Linked DNA regions of Notamacropus eugenii. The protein of the gene in region 3 interacts with the protein of the main gene of each other region in a biochemical or structural test. Links are inferred from orthologs where the notes say so. Each region holds a gene or a part of one and is shown on either strand. Other genes may lie near its edges.

Region 1 (9,970 bases), about 450 Mb from region 3:
GATACCATCTTTTAAGAAATCACCAAAGAAAACTGCCCTGATATTCTTGAATTAAAGGATAAAATAGAAATTGAAAGATTCCACTAATCACCTCCTGAACAAGATTCCAAAATGAAAACTCACAGGAATATTAGAACCAAATTTCAGAGTTCTCAGACCAAGGAGAAAATATTACTATTTTCTAGAGTTTCTAAAAAGAAACAATTCAAAAATTGTGGAGCCACAGTCAGGATAACACAAGATTTAGTAGTTTCTACATTAAAGGCTCAGAGGGCTTAGAATAGTATATTCTGAAGAGAAAAAGAGCTAGGACTGCAATCAAGAATTACCTACCCAGCAAACTCAGTATAATCCTTCAGGACAAAAATAGATATTCAGTGAAATAAAGGACTTTCAAGAATTTCTGATCAAAATACTAGAGCTGAATAGAAAATTTTTCTTTCAAACACAAGACTTAAGAGGAGCATAAAATGAGAAATTATAAGAGATTCAATAAGCTGTTTACATTCCTACATGGGAAAACCATACTTGTAACTCCTAAAACTTTCTCATTATTAGGGCAGTTAAAAGGAGTAAACACAGACAGAGAACACAGGTATGGGCTGACTATGAAGGGACGCTTATCTAAAAAAAACAAAATTAAGGAATGAGAAACAGGGATGCATTGGGAGAAGGGGAAAAGGAGAGGTGGAATGGAATAAATTATTTCACATAAAAGAGCTTTTACAGTGGTGGGGGAGATGGGGGAAGTGAAAGTGGGGAAGAGAGATGATCCTTACTCTCACTGGAATTGGTTCAAAGAGGGAATAGCACACACATTCAATTGGGTATAGAACTCTGTCTTATCCTACAGGAAATAGGAAGGAAAGGAGATAAGAGAAAGGGGTCTTGCTGATAGAAGGGAGGGCAGACTAGAGTAGGTAAAAATAAGAAGCAAAACACTTTTGAGGGTGGACAGGGTAAAAGGAGAAAGAGTAGGATAAATAGGGAGAAAATAGGATATAGGGAAATACATAAGTGTAAAAGAGTTTTATAGCAAGTTTCTCTGATAAAGACCTAATTTCTCAGCTATGTAGAGAACTGAGTGAAATCTACAGAAATAAGAGCGATTCCTCAGCTGATAAATGGTTAAAGCATATGAACAATAAGTGTTCAGATAAGTACTCAAAGCTGTCTATAGTCACATAAAAAATGCTCTACATTACTATTGATTAGAGAAATGCAAATTAAAACAACTCTGAGCTACCACCTCATACCTATCAGATTGTCTAATATGAGAGAAATATTGGAGGGGATGTGAGAAAATGGAGACATGAATACATTGCTGGTGAAGTGATATACTGATTCAAACATTCTGTAGACAATTTGGAACTATACCCAAAGGGCTATAAAAATGTGTATGCCCTTTGATCAAGCAATACCACTATTAGGTCTGCATCCCAAACAGATTAAAAAATGAAAAGGAAAAGGACCCATACATACAAAAATATTTATGGCAGCTCTTTTAGTGATGGCAAAGAATTGGAAACTGAGGGGATGCTCAGCAATTGGGGAAAGGTTGAACAAATTTTTGTATGTGATTCTATTGTTCTATGAAAAATGATGAGCAGGATGCTTTCAGAAAACTTGGAAAGACTTACATGAACTGATGCAAAGTGAAATGAACAGAAGAACCAGGAGAACACTGTATACTGTAACTGTAATATTATATAATGGTCAACTGTGAATGATTTAGCTATCCTCAGCAATACAGATGATCCAAGACTGTTCTGAAGGACATGATAAAAAATGTTTTCCAACTCCAGAGAAAGAACTGATAGAGTCTAAATGCAGATTAAAGCATACTTCACTTTTTCTTCTTTTTTTAATCTCTGTTTTCTTTTACAGCATGACTAACAAGGAAATATGTTTTTCGTGACTGTACATCTGCTTCATCAACCACTTCACTTCCCTTAATTGTGGGTTTTTCCCCGTGGTTCAGTCCTAGGTCCTCTACTCTTGTCTTTTAATACATTCTCTGAATGACTTTATCAGCTCCTATGAGTTTAATTATCTTCTCTATGCAGATGAATGTGGCAGCTAGGTGGTACAGTGGATAAAAGCACTGGGCTTGGAATCGGGAAAACTCATCTTCCTGAATTCAATCTGACCTCAGACACTTACTAGAAGCGTCACCCTGGGCAAGTCACTTAATTCTGTTTGGCCCCCGTATCCAGTCCTAGTTTCTCCCCTGGGCTTTGCTCCTGCACAATTCACTTGCCTATTGGAGATTTCAAACTGGATCTCTCAGACACATCTCAAACTCAGCATGTTAAAAACAGAACTTGTCTTTCTGTCCAAACCCATCCCTCTTTGGAACTCTGAGATCTTTGTTGAAGGCACTGTCATTCTTCTAGTGTCCTAGATTCATAACCTTGGTGTAATCATGGATGCCTCATCCTCCTTTACCCCAAATATCCTATCAGCTGCCAAATCTTGTCATTTTTACCTCAACAACATTTCTCTCACACAATTCCCACTTTAGTTCAAGTCCTCATCACTGTTCACCCAAGTTATGGCAATGGCCTTTTAACTGCATTTCCTATCTCTAGTCTCTCTCTGCTTTAGTATATCCTCCATACACAGCTGCCAAAGTGATCGCTCTCATGTATAGTTCTGACTTTTACACTCCTCCCACTCAGTCAACTCCACTGGCTCTCTACTGTCTTAAGAATAAAGTATAAACTCTTCTGTTTAGCTTATAAATCCCTTTATTACCTAGCTTCAACCTATTTCTCCAGTCTCACTGAACTTAGCTTCTCCTTCTCCACTCTGTGATTTCAACAAACTGGTCTTCTCTCAGTTTCTCAAACAGGACACTTAATTTCCCCTTTCCATAATTTTTACACTGACTGTGCCCCAACCTGGATTGTACTTTCTCCTCATATCCGCCTCATAGAATTTTTTTCTTCCTTGAAGGTGGAGCTCAAATATCACCTTCTGTGGGAAGCCCTTCCAGCTTATCTTAATTGTTAGTGTCCCCTCTCTCAAGTTTCCTTGTATTTGTCTACTTTGGATTTATTTGCATTTATTCAGTATATATCTATACATGTCATTATTCTCTCCCTTTAGAATGTAAGCTCTTTCTAGCAGGCATTTTGAAATTTATTTTATGTGTATTCCTTGTTCCTAGCATATAGTAGGAACCTAATAGAACTGATATATTGATCTACTTAGTTATTTACAAGTGGACTCTCCCATTAAAATCTAAGTTTCTTGAGGGCAGGGATTTTTTAAAGCATTCCTTTGTATCCCCAAACTTAGCATAGTGTCTGATGTGTAGTAAACCCTTAATGAGTTCTTTTTGATTGATTTTGATTGTTTGATTAATAAATGATTATTGAATTATAATTTAAATGGGTAAAGGATTATTATCCACATCATTCAGATAAAACAACTGAGGTTCAAAGAAGCTGAATTGCCTGAGGTCACAATTAAGTGATGGAATAGGAACTAGAATTCCATAGTCACAATTACTCTTGTAATCTTTTACCACAGAAGAACATGACTCAGTCCTGGGGGTAGTGTGCCTAGGAGATGAGATGTATTAAAAAACCAATATGACTAAAACATCTTCTGCCCACAGCATGGAAAAGGGGCCAGAATGCATCTAAAGTTTTTATGGTTGGGTTATATTCTAAGTATTATGTTTGTTCTCCTCTCAGCCTGTCTTGTCATCCTCACCTGCATACCCATTCCAACTTTCAAGTTATTCCTATCACCCATGGGAACTCAAGAAGATGGCCAAAATATTTTGTGTGGATTTGCCTAGTCTCTTTATAGCACCAGTAGGAAACATTGGAGAACCATTCCCTGGTCCATCTGATTCAACTCTATTCAACAAACATTCACTAAGTATCTGTTGTTCTAGGCATGGTGCTTCATGTTTGTCTTTCAGAATGGCTTCATCCATATGCCCACTGATGGATCGGACACTGTCTCATAAGGAAGCAAAAACTTCAGGTGCTACTAGATTCAACCTCAATAAATATTTGGTTTAATTGCATTTTATATTTTTTTGAGAACTTTATTTTCTTTTTAAAAAATTTAATATTTTATTTCCCCCCAATAATACATAAAAACAATTTTAACATCCTTTTTTCAAATTTCCAAATTCTCTCTCTCCCTACCCCTCTCTTCCCCATTGAGAAAGCTAGCAATATGACATGTTATACATCTGTAGTCATACAAAACACGTTTCCAAGTAAGTCATTGTATTTTAGTTTAGATCTGACTCTCTTTACCCCATATTGTGCCCTTATGGATGGGGAAGCTGGGAGCAGTCAATTCTGGATTGGGAAATACAGTGTGTGCCTGGTGGGGTGTGTTTTGAGTGAATGGCCTCCTCTCATTCAGATTCTCTCTTTTCTCCTTTCACATCTCCATGACCCCATCTTTTCTAGAAGTTATAGGATACTCAGGAGGTTGGGGTGCTAATTCGTCCTGATCTCAGGCTTTGGATGTCTGAGCTATAAGGTTTGGGATATAATCCTAGGCCTCACTAGCATCCCTCCCATTCCTTTGCCCACTCACCTGCAGGGCTGCCTCTGGATTTCCAGTTAGCAGGTGCACACAGCCCATGTTGAAGCAGATCTTGGAAGAAGGCTCTTCAATTCTGGAGAATAGTTCCAAGGCCAAATCCCAGTCCTTCCTATCCACAGCCTGGACAGCTTCATGCCAGCCCTTCACCAAATCACTGTATGACATTAAGGATGACCCTACAGTGGAGCTGGCCTAGCTACCCTGGGGGAAATAAAGAGCTCTTTGAGAAGGTATTGACTGAGCACCTTACAGCTGTGAGGTTGTGAGAGGATTGTGCCTGACACTCCTTAGAAGGCAGCCTTACCAGGGTGAGAATCTGGGCTGAGCAGGAAGTAAAGCCCCTTTCTGTTTACCTAGTAAGAGGTGGAGGTATGTGTGTGTGTGTATTCATGTGTGTGTGTGTGTGTGTGTGTGTGTGTGTGTGTGGAAAGGGGAGTGAAAGGGGGCTGGCTGAAAGGATCTTTCAGGTGCTGAGGTCTGGGGAACACCTGTCTTTTAGAGCTAGAGAAAAGATCCTGTTTCCAGTGGCTGTTGTGGGGGTGGGCTATGAATAATGATAAAATGTCTGGCTTTTAGACAGCTCTTCATATTCTGTATAGACTCTCACCTGTAGTTTCTACCTGTGGCAGAGCTGAGTGATGAAACACCTGCTATCAAGCTGCTCTGTGTGATGCGTGTTTTGTGGGAGGGGGAGGAGGGTCTTGGCCCCATCTCTAAAGGACAGAGGAGGACAAGAAGCTTCTGGTTCATTTTTTTTTTTTTAGGAAGACTTGACAGCCACTGCCCCTGTCCTCCTTCACATTTAAGTCCCTGTCATGAGCTGAGAGTATTTTAAGGAAGCAGTTTAGATTTGAAAACAATAATCAGATTGAAGTTTACTAACTAAAATGGAAAAGGATTTCATTTGGTTACTTTATGGTCATGGGATGGGGAGGAATTATGCATGGGGATGAGGCAGATGGGGTGAGGGGAGAGAAGGTTCATGTGTGGAAAAATATCTGTGAGGGGAGTGGGCTATGTGTGTATATGGGTGGGACAGGACAGAAGGGCAGTTATAAAAAAAGACAGAATAGAAATGCATTTGGTGAGGACTTCAAGAGGATGAAGGTCTCTGAAGGGCCTGAAGAGAATATAATATGGGGGAAATTCTCTGAGATATGGGGTGTAGCAGGGAGAGCTATTTTAAGAGGAATCTGGTATATGAAGATTAATCAAGGCACCTGTATGGATTCAGGAGTCTTGATTCTAGATCTAATAGGCTTCAGAGGACTGGGTCCTATCAGATTGTATTTTATTAGGGGCACCCATGCTCTTTATTTCGGGCTCCATTCACTCTGAATTCTCCACCTTCTCCTCAGTAGCAATCTCACACTGGAGATAGCTCTGCTCTGAGGACAGCTTTGCTGATTGCTGTGTCCCTAGCCACAACCACCATTTCATTAGGGGCCCCAGCCATGTTCACTTCACTCTCAGCAAATCTGGATTTCTCTGTCCTTACTAGTCATCTCACCAGTCACCTTTGCCCCAGCCTGGGTTTTTCTCCTCCCACTTCAACTTCCTTTTACACAGTCTTTCTCCACTAGAATATAAGCCTTTGAGGCTGGGTCCCGTTTATATCCTCCAATTTCAGCCGAGTGCTTAGAACAAAGTCCTTCATGTTCTACCTGGTTAGCTAGGTGGTAGAGTGGATATAGCACTGGGCCTGGGCTTCAAATGCAGCCTGAGTGACCCTGAGCAAGTTGCTTAGCTTGTCTGTTTCCCTAACTGTGAAGTGGGAATAACACAGCACCCACCTCTCAGGGTTGTTGTGAAGGCTAAATAAGATATCTGTAAGTGTCTAGCCCTGTTCCTGGCCCACAATAGGTGCTATATACAATGCTATTTCTTCTTTCCTCTCCCGCCCCCACCATCTCTTTCTGAGGTGAACAAGGGCATGTTAGGGAGACACGTAAACGTGCATGTGTGTGTGTGTGTGTGTGTGTGTGTGTGTGTGTGTGTGTATCTGATGTCCCTGGGGTGGTGGAGACCAATTAGGGATGTAGAGCGAGAAGTCTAACATGGAAGAAAATGTTTGTATATGAGGGGGTAGCACTCTAGTCCTTTTTTGGGTTGGGATATTTGGAGGAGACTCGGTGGCTGGAATAGTAATAATGACAGTATATATATGTATGTATATGTATATACGTGTGTAGACACCCACACACACATACATCCTACACAGTCTCTTTGGATCCTTACAACCCTGTGAGGCAGATACTACCGGTATCATCACCCATATTTTCTAAAAGAGGAAACTGGGGTTGAGAGAGGTCATGTAGACCCATGGTCACAGAGCTAGTCAGCATGAGAGGTGGGTTTCTAGCCTGGGATTCCCCAGGAATCTGGGGTGGGAGAGCTCTGAGGGGGAAGGTCTCAGGAGGGGGCCTGGGTATCTGAAATATGAGGATTGTGGGGGAGGGCACAGAGGGGGTCTTTGAGGGGGTTGAGGCCTGGAGGAGGGAGTGGAAGGGAAACAGGGTCTGGGGGGGAATAATAAGGCCATGGTGGGGGTTGTCTGAGGGAAACAGTATAGAACGTTGAGAGACTGAGGAGACAGACTATGGGAAGACTGAATGGAGTGGGGGGACTGCAGGGAACAGAATATGGGGGATTTAGAGTGACAGTGTGGGGAGATGCTGGGGGGACAGGGTGTAGAGGGACTGAGGGGGCTGGGGGCTGGATACAGGAAGACTGGATGGAACACAACGATGTGGGGGGACCTGCAGGGAACAGAGTGTAGGGGATTGGGGGGATTTAGGAGGGCAGAGGACGGAGTCTCTGGGGGCTGAGAGGGCAGGATGCAGGAGGACTAATGGATCAGGATGTGGAAGGACTCTTGGGGGGACAAGATAAGGGGGGATTTAGAGGGATGGAGCACGAGGAGCCGCGATATGAGGGGGCTCCGAGACACGAGTGGGGGGGGCTAAGGGGAACAACATGGGGGGCCTAAGAGGACAGGATGTGGGGGCCCCTGAGGGCGCTGCACCAGGCGGCGGCCAGGTCGGCACTTCCCGGAGGGCCCCACCCCGCCGCTGGGGACACAGGGCCTCCCGGTCCGGAGCGGTCCACGCCCACAGGCTAGGCCCGAGTTCTGGGGAGCCGCTGGGGTGCCGTTGGGGCCTTCCTGCCCTCAGCAGCGCTCGGCCCGGCTTCGGTGCCCCCGGAAAAGCGGTCCGGCGCCATTCCGGTGCACGGCTCCGCCGCCGCCCCGCCGCCGACGTTCCGCTGCCGGGAGGGGAGAGGGCGCCGCCCCGCGGGCTCCGAACGCCGGCTCCACGTGAGTGGCCGCGGGCACACGGGGACACGGGGACGTGGGGACACGGGGCCCGGAGGGCCCTGGCCCGGAGATCGCGGCTCTGGGGCCCGCCAGGGCGCCTGTGTGAAAGAGTTGGGGAGCCTCCGGGCGGTGTGGGTGGGGGCGTCGGAGGGAGGGGTCTAGGGGACCGTGTGATTGTGGGGGGCCACGGGGCTGCTAGGCTGGGGGGATGGGGGGGTCTGTTCAGGGGTCCCCGAGCCCCTCCCCCGCCTTCGGCCCCGGGTCCCAATTCCTAGAGCCCGGTGAGCTCCCGAGGGAGCGTCCAGATTCCGGGCGTGGTCCGGGGCGGTCACCGCCCAGACGCATCCTCGGCTCGACCCCGTGCAGCCCCGGGGCCGCCTCCTCCGAGAAGCCTTCCCCTCCCTCCCGTCCCTCCGCGCCTCCTCCCCCAGCCCCCGCTCCCCAAGTCTTGATTTCCCTTCTGCTTTAATTTCTCAGAACACTTTGTTCGACCCCTCCACACAACCAAATTTTGGCTTGTATTTTTATGTATTTGGGTGTCCTCCTTCCTGCTGGGTTGAAAGCTCCCTGGGAGCAGGGGCTGTGCCATTGCTGTGCCATCCCCGTTCTTTCCAGCCCAGAACAAAGCCTTGCCCCCGTCGGTGCCTGGGTATGAGATTGTTGGAAAGAACGTGCGGGTAACCCCCCGTGGAGAGCGGGACGAGGATCCAGGTCTCAGCGGGGCTGCCATGTCCAGCGTGGCCGTAAGGTGTCAGTGCAGTCTTGGGAGGACAGTGGTGTGGACCCTGGTGGCACCCACCGGACTCAGAGACCAGGAAGAGCCCCTGGGTCTGTATTGGCGCCGTCCCTGAGGGTCTTCCTCTCCCAGACTGATGGGTGAAAGAGGCCATTCTTTGCCCCATCCCTTACCTGCCCTAACCACTGGACGGGTGTTGCCTCAGACAGCCGAGGCCAAGGTCTCCCCTGCAGCCAGCCCGTCTCCAGCTGTCCTGACCTGCCCCGGCCCCGGGCCCCACATGGCTCCTGTGGCGCAGCCCTCCCTGCTTCAGCCTGATTCCCTCTGCCGCAAGGACGGACAAACGTCCGTACCGGGAGCAGCGTCTGTCCCTGAGGGCACAGCCTGTGTAATTCAATTAAATGTCCAAATGTACTGTGGCATTTTTTGACATTTTATTTAACATTTTCTAACAGTGATAGGCAGGATGCAGAAAGAACCTGTGGAGCCTGTATTATTTTAGAATTTCTAGTTATTTTATGTAGTTACAGATTCAGCGTTAGACAGGACCCCAGAGGCCATCCAGTCCAACTCCCCTCCCCCCCTTTTTTTCAGATCAGTAAATTGAGGTTTAGGGACTTGCAGAGTAGTAAGTGATAACCAATATTTGAACCAGATTTTTTGACTCTTTCCATTATATTTGGGCTGGCCAGAAATTTGTGTTAGTCCCACACGTAAAGAAAAGTACTTATTGGCAAATGAATGGTTCTCTTCAGAGTGGCTGAATGGTTTAGTGGAAAGGTGCCTCAATTGGGAGCCAGCAGATTCAGGCTTTAGGCTTGTCTTTTCCTCTGCCTTGCTCTATGACTTTTGGCAAAGTCACTTATGAGGTTGGATTAGATGGTCTCTGTGATCCCATTTAGCTTTACGCGCTCTGATTCTAAAGACCACAGAAAGAATATTTAACATTTAAAAGAGCTATTTGTGTGTGTATACTGGAAAGAACACTGGACGTGGGGGGCAGAAGAATGAGGTTCTTAGTGCAGTCCTTAACTGGCAGGCTTGATCATAAATCATTTCACCTTAGCGCATCTCAGTAAAAAGATTGTACTAGACAATTTCTGAGAGTTCTTCCAATTCTAGCCAAATAATTTTAATCACTACTAAATATAGTGCATGTAAAACAGTTTAAGGAGACGTTTCTTAGTACTAATTTTTCCTGTTGATTAAAAAAAAACTTATTTGATATTTTATTTTTCCCAATTACATGTGAAAACAATTTTAACATTTCCCCCCAAATTTTGAGTTCCAAATTCTCTCCCTCCCTCCCCTCCCCACCCCATTGAGAAGGCAAACAA
Region 2 (9,998 bases), about 660 Mb from region 3:
ACCCAAATTCTTCTGAGTGTGTGTGTGTGTGTGTGTGTGTGTGTGTGTGTGTGTGTTTTCCTTGATCACAGGTTTTAGAACTGGAAGGAACCTAAAAGATTATCTAGCCCCATCCCCTCTTTTTACACATTAGGAAACGGAGGCACAGAAAAAGGAAATGATTAACTTGAAGTCACAGAGTTAGCATAAAGAAGAATGGGAACTTGAGCCCAGAAGGAGACAGAGAGTGAATAAAGAAGCCCCAATGACTCCTCTTCCCAGAGCTCGACAAACTTGGCTCCCTGGATTCTTCCTAGAACTGTGGTCGCCCAAGTTCCAGAATCATGGTACCAATCACAGGGTTGGAAGGTGCCTCAGAGCCCAGCTGGTCCAATAGTACCAGAAAAAAATCCCCTCTACCAGGTCCTTGTCATTCAGCCTCTGCAGGAGCCCACAACCTCCCAAGCCTACAAAAACTATGTGGTGTTCCCAGGACTGGGAGGAAATGAGCTCCTCTCACCAGCTGCATCTGAAAAGTCTTCTAGGGGCTCAAGACCATTCTCAGGCTAAGAAATGACTAGCAAAACCCTTTCTTGGTCCCACAGCCAACTTGTGGCCTGTGGGTAGAAGCAGTTCCAGCAGCACAAGACACCTGAGAGTTTTTGGGTAACAATATCTGACCTAATTTAATTAGTGTATCATAATTAATGATATTAATTATTATCAGTATGATATAGTATTATATCATTAACTTTATATTGCTACATTATATAATTATTATTATAAAAGTAATAATAGTAATTAGTGGACTATATCTTGGACAGAGAGCCAGTCAGTTAAGTCCTGTGTCTGACACGTACCTATTTGCTGTGGGAACATGTGCTTAACCTCTTAATCATGTGGGGGGGGGCTCCCCCAGAACTTTGCAAAATCATGTTACAGATGGATGGCTGCTCTGCATCAGTAAAGGGATATTCCAAAATGACACTTAAGAAATCACAAGTCTAGACAAAAAGCTAAAGTAACGTACACTTTGATAATGGTTTACAAAGCACTTTTCCCCCACCCACTCCATGAAGTCAGCCAGGCAAGAGTCCTCATTCCAGAGCTAAGGCAATTTAGGCTCAGAGAGGGGAGAGGATTTGCTCAGGCTCGCACAGCAGTAGGACCCAAACTCAAATTTTCCCAGTCTCAGACCAGTACTCTTAACCAGCTGACACTTCTGGCAACACAGCCAAAATCTGGGCATTATCTGGGTCCTCTTCATGAAAGGGCTAAAATCCAAGGCAGGAATCCTTAGCTGACTACACAGTGTGTCAATAAATGTTTGTTAACTATGTACCAATGACTGTGCTCAAGGGAGGGAATAAAAACTAAAAGGAAATAAAAATTAGTGGGAGCAGCCCATAGTCAGAGCTGAAATGAGGATGCCCCACCATTCTCAAGAAGATGATGTTAAATATTATTATCCTCATTGCCTTGATCAAGACCAGGCTAGCACTGAATCCAGAACACTACTCCTGTAAGAACCAAGTGGATTAGATTGTTCCCTGGACTCCTCTTGTCTTATGGCTAAACAACCATGCAAGTGCCTACTGCTGCCCAGCTTACATGGTAGTTCAATACTTTCTTCTTCTCCATAGAAAAGTGGTGGACTAGGGGTAGAGAATAGTCCCTATACTGTCAGGAACTTTCAATGAGTTGGTTTGTTAGGCTTAACTCTTTTCTTTGTTCTAAGGTTGGAATGATTATTGAGAAGTGATGAAACAAGTGTCAACAGAAGGCTTTTTTAAAAAAAAGGTTATGGCTCACCAGAGGTATACATTAAAAATCTATGCATTTAGCCCCCAGGAAAAGCTAGGAGAAGATGCCTTTCCCTGTTCCTTTGCAAAGGTGGGATGGACAATGAATGTGGAAATCGACACATAGGTTCACATTTTTTTTGCTGCATTTATCAGTTTTGCTCTTTTTTTCCCCTTTAAAAAATTCCTACATGGGGTTGCTCTCTGGGACTGAAGAGGGAGGAATAAATAAAGGAGTAACTCTAGGCAACATAAAAACGAAGGATTCAATACAATTTCATTTTTTTAAAAGGAAAAGAAATTTAAGCAGTCAGTCCAAACAGATTTCAGATCATGAAAAAACCTGATCTTCATTCAACTGCTACCATTTGTTTGAGGGGGGAACTCCTTGTTTTCTTGACTTCTACATTTCAGAATCTTCAAAGAATTTTTCTTTCTTCCCCAGTTTACTTGCCAGGCACAATGCCTTAGGAAGCTAAGAAATGATTATCCTTCACAATTAAAAAAAAAACACAAAAAAACGGGGAAAAAGATCCTAATGACCAAGCTGACTAAGAGTTGTTCTGGTTTAAGATCCTACAATGGTACAAAGTACAACCAAATTTACAAGCCAGAAGCCCTGGGATTCAATTTGGGTTCTGCCTCTTACTAACTGACTTTATGGCCTGGGCTTTACGTCATACACTGTCTGTAAAACGGGGTAAATGAGACTTGCATTACCGGAACAGACGCAGCAGCTCATAGGCTTTCCTTGATCACAGGTTTTAGAACTGAAGTTGGCTGAGATCTCAGGGATGGACCCACATTTCCCAAGAAGGACTCACCTACCCACCTACTAGCTCAGACTGAAGCTCAGTTTATGCCCTGAGGAGCTAAGCAAGCCAGACTGGGCACCTCAATCTTTCCTGCAGGGCGAGAATCACTGGGGCTTCAAGGCAGGGTGAAGCTGGGGGGAAGGGGGGTGCAATCAGAAGCTTAGCTTTTGGGGGTGATGCTTTAACCCATTTGTCCCAAGGCTTCTCAACTCTAAGTAGGTTGAATAGGCAAGCTTTAAGGTAAGGGATCTTCCCTCCCACATTCCCCTATCCCCTTCCCCTGATACTTCTCACAGCGATGGAGAAAGCCCCTTCCTCTCTGGAAAGGACAGGAGAAGGCTCCCTCTCCAAAGGCCTCTGGGAGAGTGTGAGTTAGCACTGACATTCAGACTCAGACAGACTGAAGTCAGCGAGATCAGATCTCTGAAGAAGAGGGGAAAGTGAGAGAGGGGCAGAGAACACAGGACAGTGTTTCCAGGGCATTCCTGGAAGGTGGGAAAAGAAAGCGGAAATTCTGAGCTGCTTCTTCCTTAGCTGGTCTCGAAAAGCCAATGATTTCATGACGTCTAAGGTTCCTTCTAGCTTTGAGATTCTATGACTCTGCCATCTTATGGACCACACAGCCTGCTGGCAGTACAGAGGGGAGAAGGAGGAGGCTGATCTCACCCTGGCTATTCTCAGTCATGGGCTGTGTGTGGATTTAGAGGACCTGGATTCAGATCCAACCTCTGACTTTAATTAGCCCTGTCATTTTGAGCCTCAAAATCTTTAATCCTCAAAGCCTCAGTTTTCTCAGCTGTAAAATGGGACTTGCTCTTTGAAGTTCCTTCTAGCACTAAATCTTAGAATTTTAGATCAGGTCACAAATAGCTTCTTTCTTTGCTCTGTGTGAATGTGTGCATCTATATCGAGGTGGTGGCTCATAGGATTTGGAGGTGTTTGTTTTGGGGGAAGAGTTTGGGGAACTCTAAGCCAGAGACTGTGGTTGGGCCTTTGGAAGGCTGTAGGATATGCTTCCATGCCCCTCAACTACCAGGGTATCCCCCAGTCCTGATTATAAAGGGGGCCTCTGCCTCTCAGATCACAGGGGGACCCTCAGGAGGCAAAGCTGAAGACAGAGGACTTCTCCCTCACAGAGGACAGGAGGCTACAGCAGCTGACAGGGGCTTTCCCAGGCTTAGCAGTAGGGTGGTGACCCAACCAGAACCCACAAGGAAGAGGAAAGACCATTTGAGGGAGAAACACCTACTTCTCCTTTTTATTTTTACTTCCTCAATCGAGAAGAGGCAGTTTCCTTCTGACTTGTCTTCCTCAAGTTCAAAGTTAAAGACAACTAGAGGGAGAGGGGGCAGAGAGGGGGGCTCCCGTGTTTCTTGGCGGATGAGTACTCCCAGAGTCCCTGTTTTCTGTGTTTCCCCTAGTGGCTTAACCTCGGACCAGAACTCCCTTCCCTCCCTCCTTCTCCCTCCCCTCCCCTCACAGCCTGGTGGTGTCCGCGTCCTCCCCCCCACCCCCACCCCGCCCAACCCCTTTACCCTGGGCACATCTCCGCGCTGCAAACTATTCTAACCATCAAACCAACCTCTCTCTCTCTCTCTCTCTCTCTCTCTCTCTCTCTCTCTCTCTCTCTCTCTCTCTCTCTCTCTCTCTCTCTCTCTCTTTCTCTCTCTCTCCTTTCTCCGTCTCTCTCTGTCTCTCTCTCTGTCTCTCTCTCTGTCTCCCTCTCTCCCTCTTTCCCTCCTTCTCTCTCTCCGTCCCCTCCCTCTCCCTCTCCTTTCTCTGCCTCTCGGTCTCGCCCCTCTTCCTCCCCTCTTTCATCTCTCTTCTCCCTCCCACACAAAGTTTTAGACACTTCTCTGCAGCCCCTCTCTCCTTCCCATCCCTCCTTCCCCCCCATCCCCGGCCTCCCCCCATCCCGGCCCCCCACTCCTCCGGCCGGGACAGTCACTCAGGGCTTCTCAAAGTTAAATTACAACAGAAAAAGTTTCCAGCCCAGGGCCGCCGGTGGGGGCGGGGACAGGGCTGGCAGTGCCTCAGGGGGCAGACGGGCCACGCCGCCCCCGCCCCCACCTGGTGCCCCCGTCCCCACTCACTGAGGCCAGATGCCAGAGCCTGCTCGTTCGCCCACATGGCCCACTCGATCTGGCCCATAGCGGCGGGCGGCGGCCCCCCGGAGAGAGCCCGCAGCTACAGGAGGAGGAGGAGAGACGGCAGCGGCTGCAGCGGGAGCCCGACACTGACCCGCCCAGCGGCCGGACCCAACTCCGCCTCTCCCTGTGCTCCGCCCCGGGGCGGGCACCGCTTCCTGCCCTCCTCCTCCTCCTCCTCCTGCCCTCCCACTCTTTTTGCCCGCGCCCCCAACCTCGCATCCGATCGAGCGGACCCTTGTTTAACTGACGTCCTGGCCCCACGCAGACCCCGCACCTTGGCTCTGCGCCGCTCTGCTCTCCAGGTTCCCCCATCCCCGGAGTGATACCCACTCCTGAACCCCGACCTTCACATTAGCCACTCCTGTCGTGACAGCCTCTGCCCTGGGAGGGCACCGAGCGAATCTCTTGCTTTGGGATCAGTTCATGGCTACTGGGAACTCCCAGAGGGGCATACTCCCTCTACCACTGCAGGTGGGCACCTTTCTGCCATTTAGAGTCTTAGAGAGTTAACTAGTTGCCCAGTGTCAGAGGTGAGACCGGAACCCAGGTTTAGCCTATTTGAAGGCCCACTCTCTCTGTTAGCCCAAACTGCCATCTCCAAACAAGGAGAAACACATAAGCACTCCCGCTTCTGTGCAGCCCCATCCCTCTCCATTCTCCAGGGTCACTCTCAGATCAACACAGCCCTTCCCTGACGCAACAAAGCCTTGAAGTTCAGACAACAGGTGACTTTGCCACCGTCACAGAGCCTGGATTCAAAGTCGGGACTCCCATCTCCAGTGCCATTCTCCTTTCCACATCATGGGATCCCTGATGCAGAGGAAGGAAAGTCAGGAGACACTGGACCCAGTTTTGGCTCTGTCACTTACTGACTCTATGACCTGGGAGAAAGGGGGTCATAATGCTTGCACTACCAAGGTAGACACAGCAACAGTTCTTAGGACTTCTACATCCCACAGATTTTGGAGTTTATCTAGCCCAATCTCTTCATTTTCTAGATAAGGAAACTAAGGTCCTCAAAGGTCATTGTTGTTTTGTTGTTTTGAGGAACAAATGAGATAATGCATTATAACAGGAACACTGACCTAAGTTAAAAATGGGCTGTTCCTCAGCTAAAGAAACCAACATAAGAGATTAGGGGCTCTTCTAGGCCTGGGGTGTGGGAAGTTGACCAATTTCCTGAAGGGACAGATGAACTATGGTAGTTCCTTTCTAGGCTACCACACATTTTATACCCTTATTAAAATAGCCCTTCCCACCCCCAATATCCTTCTAAGAAAAACAATTGCCAGTCATTTATAAAGTACCTACTGTGTACCAGGCACTGTGCTGGAAGATAGGGATACAGATACTAAACTGAGGTGGTCCCTGCCTTTTAGGGGTTTACATCCAACAAGGGGAGACAACAGACAAAAATACGGACTACAAAAAACTAACAGTAATTGGGAATTAGGAAAGATTTCTCTTGAAGTCGATGACACTTGAGATGAACTTTGAAGGGGCCTTCGGGGGACCAGGAGGCAGAAGTAAGGAAGGAAGGCTCTCCAGACATAGGGCAGCCTTTTCAAGATGGCAGCCCCCTCTCTGGAGTGTTGGCCAACAGCTCTGTGGCACTGGCCTGCCTCTGCCATGAAACATGAGCCTCCTGGTCACCCTTTCCTTACTTCCAAAATGTTCTGTCCTTTACAAAGCAGGGGAAAAACTGGTGGTAGACAAAGATGCCTATGTGGCCAACCCTAAAATATGAGAATCTCAAGAGTTACACCTTTGCTGTCATAGAGTTAAGTCCATGTATAGAATTCAGGGGGTTTGTGATTTAAACAAACTTTTTGATAATTGTATTTCAGCATAATTGGTTTTGGGATGTATTGTATGCATCTGAAAACATGACTCTGAGAAGGGGTCCACAGGGTTCAGTAGTGTCACCAAAGGGGTCTAGGACATAAGAAAGGTTAAGATCCCCTAATCCAGACCAACTTCCTAACTGAATACCCTCCACCAGGTTGGTGATTCCCTTCTTTAAATAAACAGTAGTAGAGACATTTGCCCTGTGAAAAGGGCCTTTGCCACCCATGCCCACGCAAGACAGGAAAGATTAATTCTCAGCTGATTGTGGTGTAGCATGAGTCACACCAGTGAGAAGAGGGAGATGTTACACCCATTACCCTTTCTCTTTGAAGTTAATGCTTCCTTTTGTGTTTTATTTTGTAGTTTGTAAGTTTGGAAGACCCCACAGGGACAATGTGGATATCTGAGGTGATGAGGGATGAGAAGGAACTAAATAAAAGGAAATTCTAATAAAATACATTTTATTGATTTCTTGCAATCAAATACTGCCAACTAGTATTACTTCCATTCATGCACCATTCAAAGCAAAGGGATAATTCCTTGGGTATTTTTTAAATGATGCATAACATTTTAATACAGCAAACGGAAAGTTAAAACTTATGATGCACCCTGATTAATTATGTAAACTGATAATTTAAAAAAAGCAGAACTAATAATTTGGTTCTTTTGTTCCTAAAGTGGAAATTTAAACATTTCTCCTGATAGTCTTGAGGTTATCATCGCATTAGGAGGAGTGCAAAGTGTGGCACACATGGGATCATCTAGGAAGGCATGTAACCAACACACCTCATCAGAATTGATAAATTGTGCATAACAAAATGCATGCAGTCAATGCATGACAGAAAGCATCTTTCCAATACAAGGTCACCCTTGGGCTCCTGTATTATTTCGATTTTGCATTATCCTTTATGGCATTATATATTAGTTACTATATATAGCATAACCCTGAAATTAAGAGGGAAAATAATTGCTGCTTGAAGAAAGTGATTCTAGGTCACCATTTGGTTTGAATCAGGAGAGACCCTTGGGAGGTTGGCATTTGCCACCCCCAGTTTCCTCAACTCCGTACTCTTCAGGCTGTGCTGTGTACTTCATAGTAACTGTTCTCGAGGGCATGGCCAGGCCTTTTCTCCTACACTGGTCTGTCCAGTGACCCTCCACCTGGCCCGGGCTGTCCCTAGCCTCATGGTTTTTCCTTTTTTGCTGTTTTCACTGTAGATTTCCTCTTCCTCACCATCACCATTTTAGCCCCTTGTGACCTTTCATTTAACTGTTCATGAGTCCTTTTAGAATATCTTCAGGGAGCTCTAGGGATGGGAAGTCCAAGGGAGGAAGGTTGGGGATGGGAATGTCCTTGACTTTTCCTGTGCTGGCTGCAAACTCCCTTCAGGGAGAAGAGGCTGTGGCAGTCTGTGCAGGGGGAGGCAGGCTCCATAATTCTGATTTCTCTACAAAGTCAGCATCTACATCCAATTCCTTTTCAGGTAGAGCCTTCTGGAGCCTGGCCTTTTTAGCTTGGAGCTGCTTGTTTTCTCTCCTCAGTCTTTCATTGTTGGCCACAAGAAACTCCGTACCTCGCTTCAGATCAGCAATCTTAGTTACCTCCTCTTCTATTGTTTTGTTATCTTTGGGGACTTTGCTGCCGGGACACAGTTCTGTCAGATCTTTCCTCTTCTGAAGGAGAAAAAGAAGAGTGTCTGGGTCCCTGTCGAGAACCCTGGCACTGCAGCAGGGTTAAACTGCTGAGACAGGGGCACACTTGGGCCCTCAGACCTATCCTCAGCCAGAGGCCTGTTTGACATCGGAAGATGAGGGGTTTCATCAGGACTCTGCTGGGCTTTCCACCTTTCCTCCCATTCTGCCCCTTTCCACCTCTCCTAAATAAGCAAGAGTTGTTTCATGTGGCTATCCCTTTGTAATTCCAGTGATAACTGAGCCTGCTCAGACCATGTAAGCTTCATGGCTTCAGAAAGATATGCGGCCACCTTTTGGTAACACAAATTGGCCTCTTCGAATTTCCCTGCAGCTAATGACTGTCTGCCTTCCTGCTCTGCCAATGAGCTATGTGCCAGGTCTGGTGGAATCTATGTCTTCCAAAAACTAGATCAGTGAAGCTGTGGTAGACTCATCACTGGAACATTATTAGCCATGAAACAATCTCCCAAGACTGTGGAAAGAAGATCCACACAGGTTCAGGAGCTTGTCCATTACTTCCATAGATGTGACGGGGGGAGGGGTGGGGGGGGGGGTGGCAGTGCCATGGAGGTCTGGCTCATGGAGGGTCAGGGGAGGGCAGCACTCAGACAGGCCCAGGTTGGTGCTGCTGCTGCTGGATCAACACAGCCACTGCTGCTTCCTCCTCCCTCTCTGAAAGGAAATTCTAAACCAACCATAATAGTAGAACCACCAGCCACTTTTTACAGCCACAGAAACAGCTTAATTGTATCATTAATTGAAGATACAGAGGGAACTGGGTCTCTGGAATCACAGTCTGAATTATTGACGGCTAAAGTGTTGTTTTCACTTGGGAAAAAAAAATTAATCCAGAACCTATCCCCAGAGGACGTGTGACCAGAGCCTAATTTTACTTGGCACATTTGCATGGCCACTAATCAAGGCACTTTGGATCTCTTGGTCCTTTGCTTCTACCTTTGCAGCCACTGGCTCTCCCTGATCTGCAACTCCCAAGGGGTAAAGGGGAAGAATCCTTTTGGAGTTTAATTTTTTTCAGTTTATTTACATGATGACAGTACTGTTTAAGTAGCAAATGTAATCGTCCACCATAATTAGAAAATGGAATGTCTTGGATAATTAAATACTTGGCCTGGTAATCCATGGAAAGGGGGTACGGGATGACTAATTGTTGGATGGGAGCACTGACAAGGCTGATTATAATCATATCTTCCATCAAAGATTCAGTAGGAGTTCCAGGGTCATCGTGATGAACACAAATTATCACAGGAATATACAAATAGAAACACTTCCCCCTTCAACAGAACACTAGATAAGAAAGGATGCAATAGCACTTTTTTTTTTTTAACTTTTAACATTTATTTTCACAAAATTTTGGGTTACAAATTTTCTTCCTTTTTATCCCCTCCCCCCCCCAAACCCAAGCATTCTAATTGCCCCTGTGACCAATCTGCTCTCTCTTCTATCCTCCCTCTCTGCCCTTGTCTTCGTCTTCTCTTTTGTCCTGTAGGGCCAGATAGCTTTCTTTACCCCTTAACCTGTATTTCTTATTTCCTAGTGGTAAGAACATTACAGTTGATCCTAACACTTTGAGTTCCAACTTCTTTAGCTCCCTCCCTCTCCACCCCTTCCCTTTGGAAGACAAGCAATTCAATATAGGCCAAATCTGTGTAGTTTTGCAAATGATTTCCATACTAGTTGTGTTGTATAGG
Region 3 (10,357 bases):
TCTGGTGACTGTTGGATGACCCAGAGACAATGACCCAGATACATGTAAACACAAACACATGTAAACACTGAAAGATACCTTCAGATATACAAATATACAAGCATGTATATAGATATATACATGAATATAGAGAAATCAAATGGTGAAGTGGTTAGAGGGCTGGCCCTGGAGTTAGGAAGACATGAGTTCAAATCTGGCCTCTGACACTTATTAGGACAAATCACTTAACCTCTGTTTGTCTCCATTTCCTCTTCTGTAAAATGGGGATAATCACAAACATCTACCTCGTAGGGGTGTTGTGAGGATCAAGTGAAATGATAATTACAAAATCATGGTGCCTGGCGCTACTATGGTAAGTGCTATGTGAATGTTAATTATTAATATTATTAGAGATGTACACAAACATGTATACTCTGTACTTAGATACATACAGAAACACACATCCTAAACAGTCGTTTCTGGGGATCACATGTGTACGCAACTATATCCATCTTTCCCTTCCTGCTTCCCTAGGATTCTTTGGTGAAGCAGGAATAGGGACTAATGGTCCCTATTTGTAAAAGACCTGTAAAAGTCTTGACCTATGAAGTTCCCTTCTGTAATAGAGTGACCTTCAGAGTCTTTTAAGGTTGGAGTTTCTTCAGTAGTTGGGACAGATCTGCTCTCCTATCCTTCATTGCCATGGATTTTGGGTCCTGACTACACATAGTGAAAGCATGCCCATGTCCTTTACCCCAGTTAATATCATTGTCAATCAGAGAAAAGAAGACTGGAAGTGGAGAAGGAGGGGCAAAGGAAGTGGGCAGTCTGGGAATGGCTTTCAGGTTTTTTCAAATAGCTGAAAGTTTGTCATGTGGAACAGAGATTTAACTTCTTCCTTTTGGTCCCAGAAAACAAAACTTAGACCACTTAGGAGCTACAAGGAAGCAGATTTCAGAAAACAAAAACAAAAGCAAAAGCCTTTTTAACCTTAGAGATGTCCAGAAGTGGAGTGGGAAAGTGTGTGCGTGCGTGTGTGTGTGTGTGTGTGTGTGTGTGTGTGTGTGGAGGGCAGCTAGGTGGAGCAGTGAATACAGCAGGGACCCTGGAGTCAGGAGGACCCGAGCTCAAATTCAGACTCAGATACCTCACACTTACTAGCTGTGTGACTTTGAGCAAGTCACCCAACCCCAACTGCCCTGCCTCCCTCCCTCCAAAGCAGAAACAAAAGTGGGGTGAGGGGTGAGCTCCCTGGCAGAGGGAATCCTCCTGCAAACACTGGATGTTCCCCTTTCTGGTCCAAAATCCAGGTAACCTCCGTAGAACATGCAAGCTGTCTTTATAAAAGACCCAGACCTAGGAGTCAGAGACTCACATGACAAAGGCAAGTCACATCCCTTCTCTGGGTTTCAGTTTTGTACTCTATAAAATGGGGATAGTAACAAGTTACCCCACCTAGATCATAGGTTGATTTTTTTTTTTTGTAAGGGGAGATTGCAAGGTGTGATAGGACTATACAAAGGTGTGTTATTATTAAGTCAATAAGTATTTTATAAGTGCTTATAATGTGCCAAATAGTGCTAAATGCTGAAGGCACGATGCTAATGATCATTATTGTTGTAATAATAAAGACCATATTTTCTTCTTAACTTCTTTAATGGAGTACGGAAAGATAGAAAGGGTCTGAGAGAAGTCACTATCCTGCAATTATTCTTTTATTTTTAATGTTCTCCAGACTATAAAGGCAGGTAAAACAACTGCTTTTCATAAATGAATAAAACTATCAGAATATAGACTTATCTTTTTCTCTGCTTACATAAAATATCTTCTGTACAATCCCCATTGCAGACAGGATGATGGGGATGATATAGTCCATGTTGTTCATTTGTTTCAGTCATGTCTGACTCTTTGTGACCCCATGTGGGGCTTTCTTGGCAAAGATACTGGAGTGACTTGATATTTCATTTTACACATGAAGAAACTGAGGCAAACAGGGTTAAGTGACTTGTCCAGGATCACACAGCGAGTAAGTGTCTGAGGCTGACTTTGAATTCAGGTTTCTTGACTCCAGCACTCTACCCACTCACTGCTCCAGAAATGACATATATCTTGAGGATTGGATTTCTCCTTTCAGATGTCTATATTTTGAAAGTTTTTCTTTCCATGAAGTTTGGAGATTTTTTTTTTTTGACTATTGAGTTTGGTGATATCTATTACAAATGCTGTTCTTAAATTTTTATGGATCAAGATTATATCTGGGCAATTGTGGGCAATGGTTCTGTCTTTTATAACTCTCCAGGTCCAGTAGGATTAATTTGTTGAATTCTCAATATATCTTAGGATCTCCTTTGGTAGTTTATGGGTTTGTTTTCTGTTAGTTTATGAAGGATAGTGATTTTATGGTGTATAATACTGGCTACCTGATTGTGTATTTTTAGGCATTTGATAGGTGTTAAATGTTTGTGACTGCAAAAATACCCTAATAATAAATCCAGGCTATATAATAAAATAACCTCTCAGTAATTCCTGGTAACAATAACCTCGCTTCTTACCTCTGTCATAAAGCCCTCAGTTTCTGATGTCAAATCTGAATGACTCAGTCATTTGTTTACTGTGTCTTTATCTACTTGGCAGTTGAGTTCACATGGACTATTATTCATGGAAGGCCTTTTGGTTACAGTCTTGGAACCTAAGCCATTAGATTGTCCATTGTAAAGAAATAAAACCAGTGTTACTTTCATTCAAGAAATCCAGTGACGTTTACTCATCATCAGCCTTTACTGCTGCTCTGAGAAGTGGTATTTGTTCCAGAAGTATCTGTAATTATCTGTAACTGATGATCCTGATTGTGATATAATCTGGGAACTTCCATCAATCCTCTTCCTCCCTTTTGACAAGGAAGTGTTAATATTTCTAGAGATACTCTAAAATAGAGAGACCATTTGGCTGGGTTCACTGGGGCTAGGGCAGACTCACTCCTCCTTATCCTATGCCCAGCCATGCCATCAATTCCCCAGTCAGGGGAATTCTAGCCTCTGGTGAGAGGGGGCTCTCCCCTCTCACACTCATTGGCTTATTAAGTTTCCCAATGCCAGCCATTCAGAGATAATTTTTAATTATAGCAAATTAGATAACAACTCGCAAGTCTAGGGGTCCCCCAACGGGGCAGAAGTAAAAGAGGTTCTTAATGCACAGTATGAATCGGGGTATGGGACAGGTAGTTTATTCCTACACAGAAAGAAATGCTAAGCATGGAAAAATCACAGTGAGATTAGTAGGATTCAGTAAACCTACTGATATTTAAACCTTATCAAGATATATAACAGTTTGCAGGACTGCTAATTAGCCATTCTCCATTTCATTCTAGCTTGGCCTTCTGTCCCTGATAACTATCATCCTATATCTCTTCTGCCCTTTGTAACTAAATTCTTCAAACAGGCCGTCTAGGCTAAGTGTTTCTACTTTCTCTCCTCTCCCCTTCTTAACCCCTTACAGTCTGGCTTCTGACCTTATTCCACTGAAACTACTCTCTCCAAAGTTAGCAGTGGTATCTCAGCTGCCAGATCCAATGGCCCTTTCTCTGTCCTCCATTCTCCTCCACCTCTCTGCAGAGTTTGACTCTGTGGATCATTGTCTCCTCCTTGATACGCTCTTCTCTCTAGGTTTTCAGGACACCACTCTTTCCTGGCCATCCTTCTACCCATACAACTCCTCCTTCACTGTCTTCTTTTCTGGATCCTCTTCCAGGTCACACCCTCTCCCCATAAGTGTCCCTCAGAACCCTGTCCTGGGCCCTCTTCTCTTCTCCCTCTATATTATTTTACTTGGTGATCTCATCAGCTCCCGTGAATTCAATTACTATGCTGATGATTCCCAGATCTACCTGAGGTGCCCCAAACTCTCTATTTCCTCTAATCTTGCATCTCCAACTGCCTTTGGGATATCTCAGATTATTTGTCCAGTAGATACCTTCAATGTCCAAAATAGAAGTCATTATCTTTCCCCCTCTCCAATTCCTACCACCTTTATTACCACATAGGGCAATAGATCCTTCCAGTCTCTCTGGCTTGTAAACTTGGAGTCATCCTAGATTCCTCACTATCTCTCACTTCCCATATCCAATCGATTGCCAAGGCCTATCAATTTCATCTTTGCAACATTTTCCCAATATAATCCCTTCTCTCCTCTGGCACTGGCACCATTCTAGTACAGATCCTCACCACCTCAGATTGGGAATATTACAATAGTCCGTTGGTGGGACTGCCTATCTCAAGTCTCCCCTCACTCCAATCTATCCTCCAATTAGCTCTCACTGTGATTTTTCCTAGAGTGCAGGTTCAACCATGTTCCCCTACCTTCACCCCTACCCCTCACTCAATCAACTCCAGTGGCTCCCTATTGCCTCCAGGAGCAAATACAAAACCCTCTGTTTGGCATTCAGAGCTCTTCATAACCTAGGCACCCCTTACCTTTTCAGTCACCTTATGCCTTACTTCCAATACGTGGTGTTTGATGCAGTGACAATGGCTTCCTGACCGTTCTACAAAAACAGACACTCAATCACACATCTCTGGTCATTTTTTCTGGCAGTTCCCCATGCCTGGAACTCTGTCCCTCCTCTACTTGGACTACTGACCTCCCTGGCTTCCTGTAAGTCCCAACTGAAATCCCACATTCTACACGAAATCTTTCCCAATCCCTCTTAATTCTAGTGTGGTTTCTTTGTTTATTATTTATTCTGTAAGTAGCTCGCTTTGTGTATATTGGTTTGCATCTTGTTTCCCCTTTTAAATGATGTAACAGTAAGCACCTCAACATGCACAGGGGGGCCTCCTACCACAGGTTCTTAGATCTACATTCATAAAAGAAAAGCAACTTTCAAGGGGTTAACAATCACTTTAATTAAGCACAGGTATCAGAGAAAATCAGGTTCAAAATTTCAGAGAAAAGAAAATTCAACAGACAGCCCTTCCAAACTGCCTGACCACTAACATACATACATCTTTACTAGAGAGGGAAGCATCAACATCTGGATTTTCAAGAAGTCGATCACTAAGCCGCCAAAGTTAAATCTCACCCTCAGAGTATTTATACACTTTTTAGAACCAGAGGGCATAACTCTGACCCAGTGCCTCCATAGAAAAAACAAAAAATACTTGGGACGCTCCTACAAAACAAACTCCCTAATTAAGCTTTGAACTATGGGCATCAATGGGTGGGAAAGTTTCTCTCCAATCACATTAATGCAGTCAGAGGCCCTTTTAGTAAAACAAAAACAGCAAAAGATCCTCATTTGATTGCCAGTGTCTTTTGATCTGATTTGCTTGTCATTTGTCTCCTTTTATATCCTCAGTGAGTCCACGCATAGTAGGACCTTAATAAACGTTTATTGATTGATTAATTGGGCACTGTCCAATCAAATGACCAAGCTTGAGTCAGTCTGCTTTATACTAGCCTCTGTCTCCAACGCAGAAGTTTTTCTTGTCACTGTGCTGTCCCTATCACTATTCCAACTAATAGACATCTGGATTCTTAAAACTCACAAGGTCCCCTATACAAAAAAAGAAGAAACAGAAAATCAGGTAACCCAACCTGAGCTCGTTTGCTTACTGTGGGGGTGAGTATGAGATAGGAACAATTGCCCTATTGTGTCTCTGGACACAGTTCAAAACAGAGAATATAATTCATAGAGAGAAATGAAGAGAGGTACTGGGGGGGGGGGGGGTGTAGGTCATCCCTTTTGCCTATCTCCTGAGCTTGCAGCAATTCTGGCTATGCAGCCACTTAAGGGACTACTCATCGTATCACAGTGTGAACCCCTGAGTGATGAATGGCCAGAAGCAGGCCTCACAGGGTCAGCCAGGAGCAGGATGAGGAGAGGGGCATATGCTCTATAAAACCCATGTCACGCTACCTTCCCACGATGGGCGATGTGTTTCATTAATATCGTCATGGCTTTTTGTTTGACTAATTCTATTGCATGGATTGTTTGTTCCAAAAAATGTAGGTTGAGATAATTACTCTATGTTCTTCCTACTGTGCTTTGACTTTGATATTCCAATATGCTTTCTACTCTACCACAGCTGTCCTGGGCCCAGGTGTCCGAAAACTGAGAGAGGGGATTTGTCTCTCCTGCCAAACCACACCTAGAACAGTCCCCTGCTTCTGAGGCTCTGATGACCTACAGGAGAGGTCAAGAGTTAGAAATCCTGGAGACTCCTGGGGAATTTTTGCCTCCAACCTTGGGGAGATCTTCCTGGTAATAGGGAGGAGACAATCAAATTAGAAGCTGCCTGGCAGGCTGCCAGGAGGTGGTTCTCCTGAATCTGGTTCCGCCCTCTCTCTCCATCCATTTAAGAAGGTGATGAGGGCATAGGGAATCACACAGAACAAGATGACTGGTACCCAGCAGCTGAAGTGGGTTCGAGGGGTGGGACTTGTGCTGGGCAGGCGTCCTCAGGTACTGCTCAACTAGTTTCCTGGTACCTATTCCTTTCAGAGCAGTTTTTGTTTCCCTTAGATCTGTTTATTCTCTAGTTCCTCTGTTTCTTCTCCTCTACCTCCACCCTCCTTTCATCTCCCCCAGCTGGGACTCCCTGTTTTCCTGCTTTTCTGTATCCTGGTCTCCCCTGTCCCTCCATCTCCGCATGTCTCCTTCTCTGACTCTCACTTTCCTGATTCATTCTCACATGTATTCTCCTCATTCCTCTACTCTCCCTTCCACTTTCTCCCCAAACCTGGCTCTTCTCCTGATCTTCCCATGTGCATCTCCACATTCTCCCATCCTTCACTCTCTGCCTTCCCTCTTTGTTGCTCCCATCTCTGTTTTACCCATTGAACTGACTCTCCTTTCTCATCATACTCATCACCTTGTCTCGACAGTCCCTTTGACTCCTCCGTGACCCTTATCTCTTTTTCTTCCCCCACCTAACCCCCCCCAAGTCTTTGTCTCTTCCTTTTCTGTCATGGTTTCTCTTTTCTAGACTTGGGCTAGGAACATGTTTGGGTATGTGACAGAAAATGAAGCTGTGTATACGTGTGTGCAATTGGGTGGGGGTCAGCCCTCTGTACCCAGCCCTGTTATAGGGCAGGAAGGATGTTTCTTGAGCTAGATAAAGGAGGATAGGGCTGTGGTAAGACCAGAATCCACTGAATCCCCTTCCCTCAACCTTCTGCCCCTTAGATGTTCATCCTCTCCGTGCTTTGGTCTGATGGCAGTGACAGCCTCATCTACAGGACCTTCCAGGAGTTCCGCCAATTCCATGTGAGACACCATCCTAGCCACAGCCCCATGGGATCCTCAAGAATCAACCCCTTTACCCTGCCTGATCCTGGGATGTATACTTAGGTTGCATTCTGGGGGCTACCTAATGACTGCCTTGAACCTAGGGGCTCCCTCCCAGCCCATCTGTTACCCCTTCATCACCTAACTCCCTTATTTAAAGCCCCCCCATGACCCTGATTCTATCTTCTCAGAAAAGACTGAAGAACTCCTTTCCCTTGGAGGCAGGTTTGCTGAAGAATTCAGACTGTGTCCTCCCCAAGTTTCAAGGTTAGGGGACTGGTGAAAAGAATGGGATAGGTGGGTGGGGGATCTCTGGGCTGAGTGGACCACTAGGCACTGGGCCAGCCTGAGAAAGGGTCCTGGGACCTCAGGGTGTGGGATCCCATAGGAAAGAAAAAGGGAGCTCTAGGGCTCAGGGCTGAGGGGAGTGGGGGGCCTGGGATTTCACAGGAATCTCTGCTTTTCCTATAGATGCCTCAGTACTCCCCAGTGGAAGGACACGAAGGGGACTGACCAGGTTACGGCTGCTAGAAGCCTATTCTCAGAAACTTCTGGAGGTCACAGAGATGGTATCTCAAAGTAAGGTGGTCACTGACTTTTTCCAGCCCCAGCCTGGGGACCTGGAGCCTGTCCTGCCCCACAACAGGTATTTGTGAGTCCCCATATGCTCAGTCTTCCTAATCAGATCAAGCTTTCACTGTCCACCCTGTGAAGGTTTAGGGGTGGGTGAGATCACAATGACTGAGAAAAGCAGACTCATATAAGGACACAGAAAATGGGACTGACTGGGGAAGCTGAGAGAAGGGAAGAAAAGCTCTGCATGGGCTGCATCAGGAAAGGTTTATTGGAAGCGATGGGATTTAAAAGGCCTCAGAATTATTTTCCATTCCTAAGAGGCCCAGTGTAGAATTCCCTCTACATTCCCCTGTAATTGTACAGCCTCTGCTTGACAAGGCTCCCAGTGACAGGACATTCACTGCCTCCTGTTCCATGTCTAAACAATCCTGTTAAGTTCTTCCTTACAATTGGTGGGAATTGACCTCCTAGTAACGACTCTCCCACTCTCGAGCATTGGTCCAACCAAATTCTGCCATATGAGACCAAGCAGAACAAGTCTAGCATGGGGCAGTGTGGTATGGTGGACAGAGAGCTAGCTTTGAAACCCAGAAGGCCTGGGTTCAAGTCATGCCCTGACACATACTGGGTAAGGCTCTCTGACACTATAAGCTGTTGACCTCTATTAGTAACAGGAATTCCCCTTTATGTCAATGAAATCGCAGATCCTTGACTTGTCCCCTATCCTCTTCCACTGAACAACTCTTCTAGTATTTGCAGGTGTTAATTACGCTGTCAGTCTGGGGAACAGCAGACCAGAAGGAAGTCAGAAATGACTGGGAGGTGGATTAGGGCTAGTTTCTCAGGAATGGGTAGGGCCAGGCTAAGAGAAAGGGGAGGTGTAATAGGAAGGCATTCCAGATAGGAGCCAAAGACTGAGCAAAGGTCCGGATGTGGAAATGAATCTGACATCCTCAAGGATGGCAAGGTATGAAAAAGAGGTGTTGCTAGATGGAAAGTTCAAATGTCAGTCTAAGAAGTGGGGAGGAACTTCCACCGGCAGAAAATCTTGTACAGGGTGTAGAAAAGTCCCAATTCCAGAGGGTTAAAGCTAACTCATCTCAACTGTCATCTATGTCTTACCTTGCTTATCTTGGGTCTTTTCTTAAAGCTTGGTGATCGTGCCCTCTCCTTGGGAGAGACCAGAAAGGAGTCCAAAGAAGCCCCCAGTCCTAGAACCAGACATCCACACCCTGGAGGCCCAGACTTTCCGGTGTCTTGATAGCTTCAGTACTCAGGACACCAGGGGCAGGTCCTTTAAAGCTAAAGCTGGAGAAGAGCTGGATGTGTTGCTTAAAGAACCCACAGGTGGGAGGGCTTGGGGGACTGTGGAAGGGGGAGGACATGGAAAAGATGTAAAGATGGGGGCCTCAGCCCTGGATCCTGGGGGAGGGAGACTTTCAGTTGATGGAGATCCTAGAGAGACAGGGGGTCTTAGCCTAAATATCCTATCCTTGTGTCCCTGTTTTTTGGGGGAAAGAGGACAGGAACCCCAAGGAAATGGAAGTATTAGCTTGAGGGGATAGGGACATTCAGGGGAAATACTTTTATTCCTGGGGGACCCCAGGGGCAGGAGAGTCTGAGCCTTTGGGAAGGAATGGGAACTCTTAGATGGGGATCCAGGGGGCAAGGATAGGTTCTTTAATCTGACAGCGGAGCAAGATCCTTCAAATGTTGGGAATTCATATTTGATAGGGAGAGTATGTCCATGTGTGCCCATGCATACATGTCAGTATCAATAAGTAGTTACCTCCCTATTTCCTTCCTAACCCATGTAAGTAAAACCTGTTCCCTCTTACTTGCTGAGTTTTAGGGGTCGGGTTGTCTACATCCCAGTATAATCTTCCTTCCCCACTCCCCAGGCTGGTGGTTGGTGGAAAATGAGGACAAACAGATAGCTTGGTTTCCTGCACCCTACCTGGAGGAGGCATCTCCAAGACAGGGATGCAAGGAGATGCCCCAGATACCCTGCAGTGGTAAGTGCCCCTGATCTTGGTCTGGACCCCTCCTTTCTGTGATCCAACCAAGGGAGGGGGAAGGAAAGTGGCCAGTCTCGCGCTGGGATCTGTGCCCAGCTATGTTCCCCATCTGTAAAACAGATGATCTTTAGAGCTCCTCCCAGCTCTGAACCCTATGACCCTGCATGGCTGGGTAGGATAAGACATCCTCCTGGTCAGGCTTACCTTAGTCTCCCGATATTCCTGGGGACCACCCCAGGAGGAAACAGCATCCTGGATCGCCCCTTTCCACCCCATCCAGGGCTGACGTTCTGCACCACCGAAGCTTACAAGAGCAGCCGGGAGGACGAGCTGTCCGTGCCCACGGGGGCCAGAGTCACCGTGCTACAGGAGTCCGAGTGCGGCTGGTGGCAGTGCCGGTGTGTAAGGGTGCAGGCTGGCTGCGCACGGCGGTGGGAAGGGGAGGAGGGGAGGAGGAGGTGCGGCTCTGCCCTCCCCAAGCTCCGGGCGTGTGTGTGAC

What was found.
Region 1: the proteins of NOXO1 (region 3) and NOXA1 form a complex in vitro, tested with the Homo sapiens proteins (2 studies listed by IntAct). The link is inferred for Notamacropus eugenii from reciprocal best matches to the Homo sapiens genes NOXO1 and NOXA1.
Region 2: the proteins of NOXO1 (region 3) and CYBA form a complex in vitro, tested with the Homo sapiens proteins (3 studies listed by IntAct). The link is inferred for Notamacropus eugenii from reciprocal best matches to the Homo sapiens genes NOXO1 and CYBA.

Annotation. Positions count from the first base shown.
Region 1 is NC_092872.1:493,493,881-493,503,850, forward strand, and holds the start of NOXA1 (NADPH oxidase activator 1), read right to left. Parts: upstream 4,906-9,970; 5' UTR 4,747-4,905; coding exon 4,573-4,746; intron 1-4,572.
Region 2 is NC_092872.1:705,424,550-705,434,547, forward strand, and holds the start of CYBA (cytochrome b-245 light chain), read right to left. Parts: upstream 4,906-9,998; 5' UTR 4,748-4,905; coding exon 4,690-4,747; intron 1-4,689. UniProt on the Homo sapiens protein: Subunit of NADPH oxidase complexes that is required for the NADPH oxidase activity that generates, in various cell types, superoxide from molecular oxygen utilizing NADPH as an electron donor.
Region 3 is NC_092872.1:48,351,987-48,362,343, forward strand, and holds the start of NOXO1 (NADPH oxidase organizer 1), read left to right. Parts: upstream 1-6,373; coding exon 6,374-6,439; intron 6,440-7,162; coding exon 7,163-7,243; intron 7,244-7,455; coding exon 7,456-7,531; intron 7,532-7,735; coding exon 7,736-7,910; intron 7,911-8,990; coding exon 8,991-9,187; intron 9,188-9,741; coding exon 9,742-9,855; intron 9,856-10,138; coding exon 10,139-10,256; intron 10,257-10,357. UniProt on the Homo sapiens protein: Constitutively potentiates the superoxide-generating activity of NOX1 and NOX3 and is required for the biogenesis of otoconia/otolith, which are crystalline structures of the inner ear involved in the perception of gravity.